3 linked regions of the Caenorhabditis elegans genome follow. The protein of the gene in region 2 interacts with the protein of the main gene of each other region in a biochemical or structural test. Each region holds a gene or a part of one and is shown on either strand. Other genes may lie near its edges. The genes, in order: frpr-8, flp-10 and dmsr-1.

The links.
Region 1: the proteins of flp-10 (region 2) and frpr-8 interact in a test that uses a peptide from one of them, tested with the Caenorhabditis elegans proteins (one large-scale study listed by BioGRID).
Region 3: the proteins of flp-10 (region 2) and dmsr-1 interact in a test that uses a peptide from one of them, tested with the Caenorhabditis elegans proteins (one large-scale study listed by BioGRID).

The regions. Positions count from the first base shown.
Region 1 is NC_003284.9:8,696,152-8,699,909, reverse strand, and holds the start of frpr-8 (G-protein coupled receptors family 1 profile domain-containing protein), read right to left. Parts: upstream 2,094-3,758; coding exon 1,870-2,093; intron 992-1,869; coding exon 889-991; intron 602-888; coding exon 380-601; intron 1-379.
Region 2 is NC_003282.8:7,866,862-7,870,619, reverse strand, and holds flp-10 (FMRF-Like Peptide), read right to left. Parts: upstream 1,714-3,758; 5' UTR 1,691-1,713; coding exon 1,618-1,690; intron 1,124-1,617; coding exon 993-1,123; 3' UTR 539-992; downstream 1-538.
Region 3 is NC_003283.11:11,436,686-11,440,443, reverse strand, and holds the start of dmsr-1 (G-protein coupled receptor dmsr-1), read right to left. Parts: upstream 1,675-3,758; 5' UTR 1,627-1,674; coding exon 1,556-1,626; intron 1,277-1,555; coding exon 960-1,276; intron 909-959; coding exon 649-908; intron 354-648; coding exon 1-353. UniProt on the Caenorhabditis elegans protein: G-protein coupled receptor.

The sequences.
Region 1 (3,758 bases), on a different chromosome or scaffold from region 2:
TCAAAGTCAGTAGCTCTTGTGTTTTGATATACACACGCAAATGTATATTTTAAAAATTCTAAAATAAAATTGAACATTTTCACACAGTGATCAACTTATTATCAATGAACAGTGTGCTGACATGTTTAATATTCTGAATGCTTGAATGATTTTAAAACTGGGGTCACAAACTCTAATAGCATTGATGTTTGTTTTCACAAGAAATTTTATTTTAAAAAACCTTTAAACTACAATTATCGTAGCAACAGACTTCCGTAATATGCAAATTTGATATATTATAAAAACATTACTTTAGACCATAATAGTCAGGATACGAAACTTTAAAACGTTGTGTGTATTTCGAAATACAAAATAAAAAATTGACAATTCTTGTACTTACTTTGAACAATATGCTAAAAACCGTAATCGCAATAAGTATTGTTGTTGCTCGGCGCGGTGTGCACCAAATTTTGCTATGAAGCGGATAGTTAACAGCAAGAAATCGATCCACCGTCACTGCAACACATGTCCAGACACTACCACATTGTGCGATATTTGATATGGGTAACGTCCAAGGAGTTGATCTCCAGAAGAAATGACAAACCGCGGTGTCCCCGTGACCCTGAATAGTTTATTTGAATTATTGCTAACATAGTTGTTTTTAGTGGTGTTCTGAAACATTCATATTTCTGGAAACATAAATTATACGCAGTTTCTAAGACATTAGAAAATTATTTCAGACCTTGATGAAACTCGAAGTTTTGAGAAATATTAAATCCCTCTTCAATATCATAAATAACTTTTTTCATTTCTCTTTCCGTGCTATGAGCTTATCGATGAATAAATTGATGGACATTTCTTCATCTCATTACAAATTCCACTGAATATCAACCAGTTATCTACGCTCACCTGCAAAACGCAACCTTGGAGAGGTGAAAAGATCAGAGCACTGAATGAAAGCAGGATAAGATCGAAAACCGATAATCCGGCAAGATATACGTTGAGTGATGATCTGAAGTTAAAAATATTTTGTATTTCTATGTATCCTTATTTGCTCTTTTTTCTTGAAATGAGTATTTGAACAGACTACCAAAGAAAATTAAAACTAAATAAATGGGGAACAATTTGATGTCATTAATTTTTCAAAAAGATTAATACAATCAAAAAAAATCATAAAAATGTCGTCAGTTGTACATGAATTAAAATGTTTATTAAGGGCCAAGAAAATTTGAAATCACTGTTTCAATTGAATTGTGCAGCAAGAACAAATTGAAAGATTTATTTGAATAGTTTTTGATCATTTTTTGAAATGAATAGCAGCCTAAAGCTATAGCTCGTTTTTGACTAATGTGAGGTAAATTTTTATAAATATATAGGCTAATAAATATTTATTTTTAGAACTAAATAGCGTATTTTTATCAGGGAAAAACATTTGGTGTTTCCCTAACTTTATTTTTGATTTACTTGTTGGACAAGACTCCTTCTTTATTCGACAAAAAAGGCAGAAACATAATTTGTGAAAAAAAAAACTGCTATCGTTTTTTTTTCATATAAAAATTATTATTTTCCTGTGAACCATTTGGGGTACAGATATACACGCATCACATATTCATTTTTTTAGAAATAATGATTAAACATATTACCTATCCACGTTACTGTGTTTGTTAGAAGATATAGACGCAGAAAAATGAAAAAGTTTCCCTCGTACACGTTTCCGTAAGCCACGTGACTTCGTCGTCCTTTCTCAAAACGTTCGAAGTCTTTTCGTTGCGGGGAACAGATTTTCTTTGCGTCTCTTATATTTTCTAACTTAAAAAGTGAAGTGGATAGGTAATTCGAATTCAGTCCTTTCTAGATATACTCTCACAAGTACTCTTCAATAAAACGAACCTCATTTGTTTCCTAGTGAACACCACAATGCACATTACCGCAGCGCCGGCTCCCAGCACGCAAATTGTTGGAATGGCAAGCAGGTAAATATATGTGCTAATGTAATCGACCTCCGCAAAATTAGTTGGATAGCTGCATGTTCCTTTTGTACTTCCAGAAAAACCTGGCTGATCCGTAGTGACCAGTGTAGAATTATTAAGAAGCGAAATAACTGTCGAGTTCATAGCCAGAGGCCGAAGTGGTGTGGCACACACTGGAACACGATAAAAATTGGTTTTAGAAAGAAAAAAGGCTCTAACTAAGAGATAATTGAGTTTTGGTTGAAACGAAACAAAAAAGCGAAGACGGAGCAACCAAAGTTCAAAAGTTGAAAAAAAGAAGCAGTGACGTAGGGGTCTATTCAAATTTAACGATTAACATACATCCTTGAAAATGGTATTAGGTGACTAAATTCTTCAATATAAAACTTGTAAAACAAAACGAATATATATGAAACTTCGGAGAAAGTAGGAAGTAAAATTTATGGTATACATACTAACACAAAAATGAACTTGTAATTAGTTTATTCGAGCGAATAATTAAATGAGAACTTTTTTTCAAAATCAGAGTTTTGGTTTGTTAAGAAAAAGAAAGTAAACTAAGATAAGAGTGAAAATTTAAAACAAAAACACATAGTTGACAATTTCAGTAAGATACGTTTTTGTTACTCGTACTTTCAAAAAGTCTAGGAGAAAATACACTTATTTTCGAAAATTTTGAACAAAACCATCCACTAATTTCTTAAGTTTTTCTTTCTTTTCAAAACAAAAAAACAGTTGGATCTTCAAGACTAACTAGTCTTACTTTATTGATGCCTTACAAAATGGCTTCAAAAAAGTGAGTTCTGGTAAATAGTAGGGCATCAATGAAAAGACGAAGCAGAATTGAAATATACTACTAGTCATTTTTATGATGTTCGACTATATATAGTATCAAGAATTTGTGAATAACTACTGAGAAAAAGGGGACTGCATGGTCAGTAATGAATATGTTAGCGGAGAAGTGGAAGCCAAAAAGTCGTGAACGGCTGGTATCATCACGTAGCTTTCACAAAAACAAAGGAGGTTCTTTGAATAAGCAATGATGATTGAAGAAATGTTATTTGATATTTGAAACCTGTTCCAATTACGGGGAATAATAATTTACGAAAACTCACTTTAAATATGATTTGTCAAAATACAAGATTAGTTAAAGAAGTATGGTTTTACTGAGATATTGTACCCAAACCAAAATCAAAGAGCGATAAAGACTTGTTTCTGTTTAGAAAAAGAGTTTGAAAATTGGATTCTTTGTATTTTTAACTTTTATATGTAAAATAATACAATGATAAAATTTTTTCAAACGATTTTGATCAACTTATTCATTCTAATTGTAGATATACTCACTCACCAAAATGAAAAAAAGTTTAAAAAAAAAGAAAATTAACATGATGTCATTGTAATTTCCGGATAAAATATATACTTTAAATTGAAGACTTTGAAGAAAAAATTCATATTTTTTGGCAAGCTCTAGTTGACCATTCACATATTTCATAATTCATAGCTCAAGGACATATTTTTACACTCGTTGTTCAAACGAGCATTTTCTTGGAAAAAACATTCGATGTATTTTTGGAAGATGTATTCACTCTAAGAAAAACAAAAATATCGAAGTTCTAAAAGTGAGCTCTTGATATTCTTGCGTATTCATTTTAGCGGAAAAGTGAGCTTGACTCAGATAGTCATTATGTGCAAAGTTGTGTACGGAAAAATAGTCTTAAAAACTATAACGATAATTATCGAATTAAATTGAAAATGAAGGAAATGGATATGAAAAATACATTCGTGAACTTATAGGAACTGCAAAAAAAG
Region 2 (3,758 bases):
CTGATGTTTTTTATCACTTGGCTCAAAATGTCCTTATAAAAAATGTTACTTTAATCGTCAGGACTGCCACCTCCTTTTTTATTTAGAGTACACACAACCCCCTGAAGAATTACTGTAGTAATCACAAATCTACACAAAAAAATCTTAAAATTTGTCTCTCTTATTTGATTATATAAAGGACGAAGTTTGGGGTTTCATATGCAGTTTAATAAAAAAGTCTTAAATTAAATTCAGTTGGTAATTTCGGCGGTCGCCAAAATTATGACTAGTTCGTTCTTGTACTGATTGAGTAGTTTTCTTGGAGCTTTAATGTTTAACAGATCTCTACTAAAGTTGTAAACGTCAATTAGTAGATTTTAGTGATTAATAATAACGTAATAATGTAATAACTGGGAAGAAATAAACACAAAGTCATAATAGAAGCAGATTCTTTCATCCATATTCACAATACCCTGATTCACGAACTCGGAAATGTTCTATTGAAATAGAGAACTCAAAGTCTTGAGCATAATAATTTTTATGATATTAAATATAAAAATACAACAAATCGTTTTATTCGCTGTGTATTTTGAAACTGAAAATACTGGAATGCGACAATCAAACAAAAAAGCATTGGGATGTGTTCGGGGGTCGATGGGTGGAGAAGAATTCAAGAGAAATAAAAGACGAAAAAGAGAAGCAATTGTAAAATTAAATGAATATAATTTATTTGGTGACATTTTAGTTAAAAGCGCTTCGAGATCAAATCTTCGTTATTAGAAATATGAAACGAATATTTTTCAGGTCAAGAAATTTGATGAAACGAAAACTTGACGACTGGTGGGGATGGTTGAGAAGAAGGAATTAATTGTTCAGTGTTCAATAATTGTTGGATTACTGTAACATGAGAATGAGAGACTAGACGAGACGCAGAGAAAGAAAGGGCGCATGATGACGTGGATTTTGTTGAAGATGATGAAGAAGATGATGAAAGAGATGTCGGAATGCCGGATTCAAATGAGAAGTTGGTCGAGATACAAAAGTTCTGCATTTGGATCGACTCTTCGTTTTCCGAATCGAATGTATCCAGAGCGTGCCTTTGGTTGACGCTTCTCCGATGCGACTTGACGACGAGCACGGGAAGCTGGAAATGGATTATTAAGATAGTTTTTACTCTGATCAATCCACTTTGATTGACAGTTTTCGGTTTTATTTTGTTTCTCTTTGACGCTGGGAAAACTCAAACTACAGAATATTATTCTGTGAGATCGCCTAAAAACAACAAAATCAGTTGTTTGCCAGTTGCAAAACTTGTAACAAACAAATCTGTGTATTTTACCCAAAATAGCTCGGTTTTTTATAATGACTAAGCCAGCTTGTTAAAAATTTTTCGAAAAAAATCTGATGAAATTGGAAGTTATTTAGTAAAGGAGAACTAACGATATTATGAAGGCATACTCAAAATGTTTTCAAGTGAACGAATTTCGTAGTGAAAATTCTCATATGCCCAAAAAAACCAGTAAATTTTTCTCATGGTTAAAAAACGCAACTTTCAATATTTCAGATTCTTACATGATTTTACTTTGACTCATTTACCGAAAACTGAGTGTATACTAGAAATACAGTTAAAAAGCTTACCATCGCTGATAGGAACAGCAAAAACAGCGGCCAAGCAGAGAACAAAAAAGACGAAAACGATGGAGAGTTGCATCCTTTGCTGTATGAGTTGATTGCCTAGAAAAGTGTCCATGATTCGAGAATAAGAAAAGATTTAGGCGTATAATTAGTGAGATGGGTGAATTCATGGTAAGGTCATGAGAATGAGGAAAGAGGAAAGAAAATGAGAAAATGTTGAAACGAAAGTAGGTACTCTAGTCTCTGAAGAAATGTTAATAATATCAAAAATTCAGCGTGCTTCTTGGTGGTCTTCTTTCATCTTTCACTCCTTCTTCATCACATCATCTTCGGGTCTTTTTTGATCACGTACTTTTGATGACGTGGCAAATTGAATTGTTCTGGTAATGTCTAACAAGGAAAAGGAATAATTGAACACTTCTCTCTACTCATTTCAAAAACAAACTGACCTTTATTATCGGTCATAAACGTTAATTGGATAAGAAAAGTGGAAAAAGAGAAAGGTGAGAGTAAAAGTGAGATCTGAAGAGGAGGTTATCCATTTTGAATATAAATCTCAGATTTCGTTTGAAAGATGAATAATTTGGATACTGGAATTTTTAGGTAATGCACAGGTTTTGAGGGCTTGGATCATAGGTGCGCGACTATTTCCATTCGACAATCGAATTTTTGGCAATTTCGGCGATTTGGCGAATTTCCGGAAATCTGAATTGCCGAAAATATAAGTCTGATAATTTTTGCGTCAAAATATTATTTCAAACGAAGACTAATCTATTATTAAAGAACAAGGCTGATTTTTTTAAAATTTTCTAACTTTAGTTAGGTTTGAAAATTGCCGAAACAGTCCGGCACTCGGCAATTTCGGCAATTATCAAAAATGTTCGATTGCCGCAAATCCGGGCTTAAATGTGATCACGTCTCGTTTGAGGATGGGGCTCGCGCGTGTATTTGATTTGTGGATTCATTGGCACCTGTTGTCAAACGGTATCATATACTTTTGACCTCTAATTGCAAGCTAGCTTGAAGTCATGACAGTGGTCCTGGAGGAATTACAATTGACACCACTTTACATGTAAAATAAATCAAGACGTACTCTTGAATTCCAGAGGTCTCTAACACTAAAACAACTTGAAAACCCCGAATTGAGTGGCCAAGATCATAAAACTGGTGTACGTACCAACAACTACCATCTCATAAAAATGGAATGAAAAATAAAAAATTCGACTTCAATTCTTTGCAGAAGAACACGACGGGCGGAGCATCCTCCCCTGCTCGTTTACAAGCTCCACCCCCTTCGACCCGAATGCTCTGTGGATGAATGATGACGTGGCAAGGGTGGGAGAGATGTGATAACTGGGTCACATCAAACACAAGCCTAATGTGTTATTTCCGTATCAAAGATGGAAAGAAAAATAGATATTATGATGGAACGCAGAATAAGCAAAGAAAAATACGAGAAAGACTAAAATAAACATTTGAAATGAGAACAAATGAATGTAGGAAACAAAACGAATATGGCGGAACTGATCTCGAGATTTTCCGAGTTCAATTTCGTGATTCTTATCAGAGCTGTGCGGCTCTTCGAATCGGGGAAAATCGGAATTTAATTCGAGAAGTAGACACTTGTAAGAAGTTGTATATGATGAGTAGACGAGATAAAACACTAGTCATTAGCCGAGTAATTTTCAAAAAATTTCCCACGTTTTGGAGATGTTCACCCAGGTGCCGAATCGCGAAGCAACACTAGTTTTTTTCCAAAAGTTTTTGTCTTATGATTAGCATATTTTTCCGATTATTTATCCTATGCAATACAAAAAGATCCTTCTTCTCCAACGAAGAAAAATAATTTTTCTCTATATGCATATAAATTTAGCACAGCTCTGAAACCTACAGTAGAGGAGAAACTAAATAATCATAGGAATAATTCGATCTCCGAGCTCTTGAACTCAACACTAATTGAACATTTCTCAACGGTTCAAGTTGTTTTTTCGATTCGAACGTTGTTGTCATGCTTTTCCGCCCTCTATTCATATCCACTATAATTCGATTTTAGTCTGCTAACTGATGCTGACGTAAAGTTAAATAGGTATCATAGCTCAAGTTTGATGATAAATGATACGATACGTGTACGATAAATGATGATA
Region 3 (3,758 bases), on a different chromosome or scaffold from region 2:
TCAGAACACATTCCAGACAAGACAGCCATAATTCCTTGAGGTAATTCAGTCACTAGCATAACTGCTACAATTGCCAATAACATATGAGTTGTCCGATCGACACGTTCTCCTCTCCCCCGTAAGCTTCCATTTCTGCCTAATTTCTCGTTGCCTGCAACTGAAATGCTCAGTCTTTGTCCGTTTCGAGTAGTCGTTTGATTCGGTGGTCGATGTTGCGAGTTCTTGAGAAGACGTTGACGATTCTCACGCACTTCACGAAGAATTCGTAAAAGGAGCCAAACAAACAACGATAGAAGCGCACATGGTAATACTTTGAATACCATACCGGATATCCAATAAGATAACCGGAAGACCTGCAGGAAATTAGGAAATTGGTTTTTGCTAGGGTGACGATCACGATGATAAATATTATTTTGTATAATTTTCATGATATCATATGTACATATGATCGATCAATTATTTCCAAAAAGGTTTATATAAATCCAAAGCTTCAAAGTTATATTATGATGATCTTGCCAAAATTTTTAGTTTATAAATCTAAGTTCCAATAAAAAAGTTTTTCGAGAAATTTTGTTTGTATACAATTTGTCAAACATTATTTTTTAACAAAAATCTTGTTTTTTTTTTACTGAAATTCAAAAATCTTACCAGACAGCTGTTTGCTTTTGCAATGTCTGCAATTCCAGGAAGATACGCGGGCGAATTCCAGAACATTGGATCCAAATCGGTACACGTTTCATTCAATGGCTGTTCATTGATTTTGTAATTCAGAAAATTCGGTGCATTAAGCACTGCTACAAGGGATACAGTAACAGCAACGGCATAATAAGAATGCCTTAACGTCACTTGCATACCACCCATATTTCCCCTACTTCGAAGTGTTACATATCGAACAAGTGCAAGCATAACTGCAATAAAATCGAAGAGTTGGACAGTTGTCTTCAGAATGAAAAGCTTACCTGACAACCAAACACTTGAAGAATGTGCAACTAATGAAAGATGAGCATGAGCAATTAAAAATAACGCCCAAGAGTAGGACCAATGTTTCGGATGACAAAACTTGAAAGCGACAAATGAGTAATGTGTTGTGTATATTAAATTTGAAAATAACACAACTGTATCACAAGATGCCATTGCTGTCAAAATCATATTAACTGGCGTTCGCATTGTTCGTCTCGTTAGTACGACGATGTTACAGAAATTAGCGATTGTACCCAACACGCATAGAAATATTGATAAGTAGGCATGTATAGGATGGTAGAAATTATATACACTTCTGAAAAAAAAACGTTTAATTTCACTTTTTTCCACTTTTGCTCTTGAAATATTTATTAATGGCTCTCTTTTTTATGGTCATCACTTTTGAGGACACAATAATTTAAGATAAGATAACCTTCTTCAATAACTTGGTTTTATTCGCTATTTTTAGGGATGATTTCTACAAATAATAGGATAACTTTTAATGATGATAAACTGTACTTTTTGAAAATACGTCAAATACAACAGTACTGGGCAATTATTTGAAAGATTTTTGAGACACAAAAGTAAAACTTACACAAAAACATCGTATAAAAAACTTTTATCGGGCAGATGAATAAATGTAGTTTTGCATTCGGTAAACTCCATTTTGTTTGCTGTTCCTCTGTTCTATTGTTTCTGATTCTATTTGAACATCTGAAAAAAAACAACAATTTATTAATATTGAAACGTTGAAAATGAGGAAAACAAGCGTTCAAATGAAAAACGGCTCCGATTCGGAAAACCGGAAAACGTCATTAGAAATGAGAGATGACTATGAAAAAAATGACAAAAGGGACAAAGATTTGGCAACACATTGCTCATTCACTTTTTAAAACAAAAACACTCAAATAATAGGGTGAGTGTGTTTTTTTGGAACAAAAAAACTAACAAAAATATACTGCAAGCTTTTGCTCAAAAATCTAAGATAAACACCAATTATTGCCAATTAGGGAGATCTTGCAGATAAAACTTCCTTAAAGAAATCATTATTCAGAAATTGAAGGAGTTGCAAAATCAGAAAATATAAAAATAAAAATAGCACAGGAAGTTTAATGATTTTTTTACTGGGAAAATTAAGAGTACAATTGAAAAAAGAGAGCCAAAAAGTTTTGAATGAACTTCAGAAGGAATAATTTGCATAAACTGAACAAGATTAATACATTCAAAAGTACACAAATTTTCGGAAAAATTGATATGCACTATACCAAATTCATATTCACATTCGTTTTTTGATTAATTTTTTTGCCGCTACACAATTTCGGCAATTGAGCATGTATTCGATTACAAAGAAAATGTCACAAATTCCAGGCACTTGGAAAAATAAATTGATAATTATTTCTTTTTCTATCACTTGGAAGAAGAGTTGTTTTTAAATGCCCGCTATTTCAGAGAGACATCACGTCATTAAAAACCATAAACGTTACGCATTTTGAAAAATAGAAAATTCAAAAACCTAAATGGATATCTCAACAGCTTTTTGTCACTATTTCACTGTCTCTTCACTTCAAAACACACACATATATATATATATATATATATATATATATATATATATATATGTGCAATATCCGTATCTACTTCCAACCGCTATTCGATCACTAAAAGAAACTCAAAACAAGCCTCGCTTCCTAGTCCTTCCGTTCGCCGCCATGATGGGCCCAGTATCTAAGCATGGGCGGAATTTGTTGCTTTTTTACTCAAAAAAAAGAACCTTTTTTATGTTGAGCACGGACAGATAAACGCAGAGCGGGGTGCAACGCATCTCTCCCCGACAAAAAATAACATCAGAATATAACCAAATTTCGGTCAGCGCTCGGAAGTGTGTGAGGCGGCCTAGCGCGCTCCAACTCTAATTACAGAGCGGATAAGGTTTGGATAGATATTTCCAAAGTTAGTCATGTGTTGATCCGTGACCACATGTCAGGTGAGCACCCATTTCCGGAGTCACTTCAGGAAAAAAACTCATTGAGCTGACTCTCGTGCCAGAGGAATTTTTCGCACTTATCATTAAAGAAAACGACAAAAGTTTATGCTGAAAATGAAAATATTTGCCGGAATTCGGTTTGAAGTTACGATAAAAAAGTAAAAGGTACAAGATCAAACTCCACTGGCAAACATATCCCAAGTATTGAAAATTTTAAGCATAATTACTTTTGAGTTAGGGGAAGGAAAATGATGGAAGTCCGGTTAGGTCGGATTTTCCTATATTGCTTGTTAAATCATTTTTGTGTATTAAATTGTATTGAAAAATAGCTGAAAAATAAGGATTATTATAACTTCTCTTATTTTACTTTTTAAAATTATTTTTTGTGACGTCGAACTTTAAAATGCAACGCCAAAAGTTTCCACAATGCAATCAAATCCTTTATACTTAAAACATCAAAATCCAACAACATGTAAACATATTTACAGAACAGAAAATTCTAAAAATATTACAAACTTGTAAACAAGTTGATAGTTGAGAAGACCTATCAAGAAGTATGATACGAGTGAGAGTACAAAAAGTACCCACAAGAAGTATCAAACTCGGAGAAAAAGATGGAAGGTACGGGGCCAAATAAAAAAACCGACGGATGTTGAGACCGAGAAAAATGCAAATTCTGAAGCTAACCGAATTTGTGACAGTGGATGGGCTCTTTGCCTAACTTAAACGAAACTTCATGTGACCTTACGAATGACGCAACTATTTCTGCACATAAAAAGGTGACAGAAGAAGAAGCCGTAGGATAAACTGACCA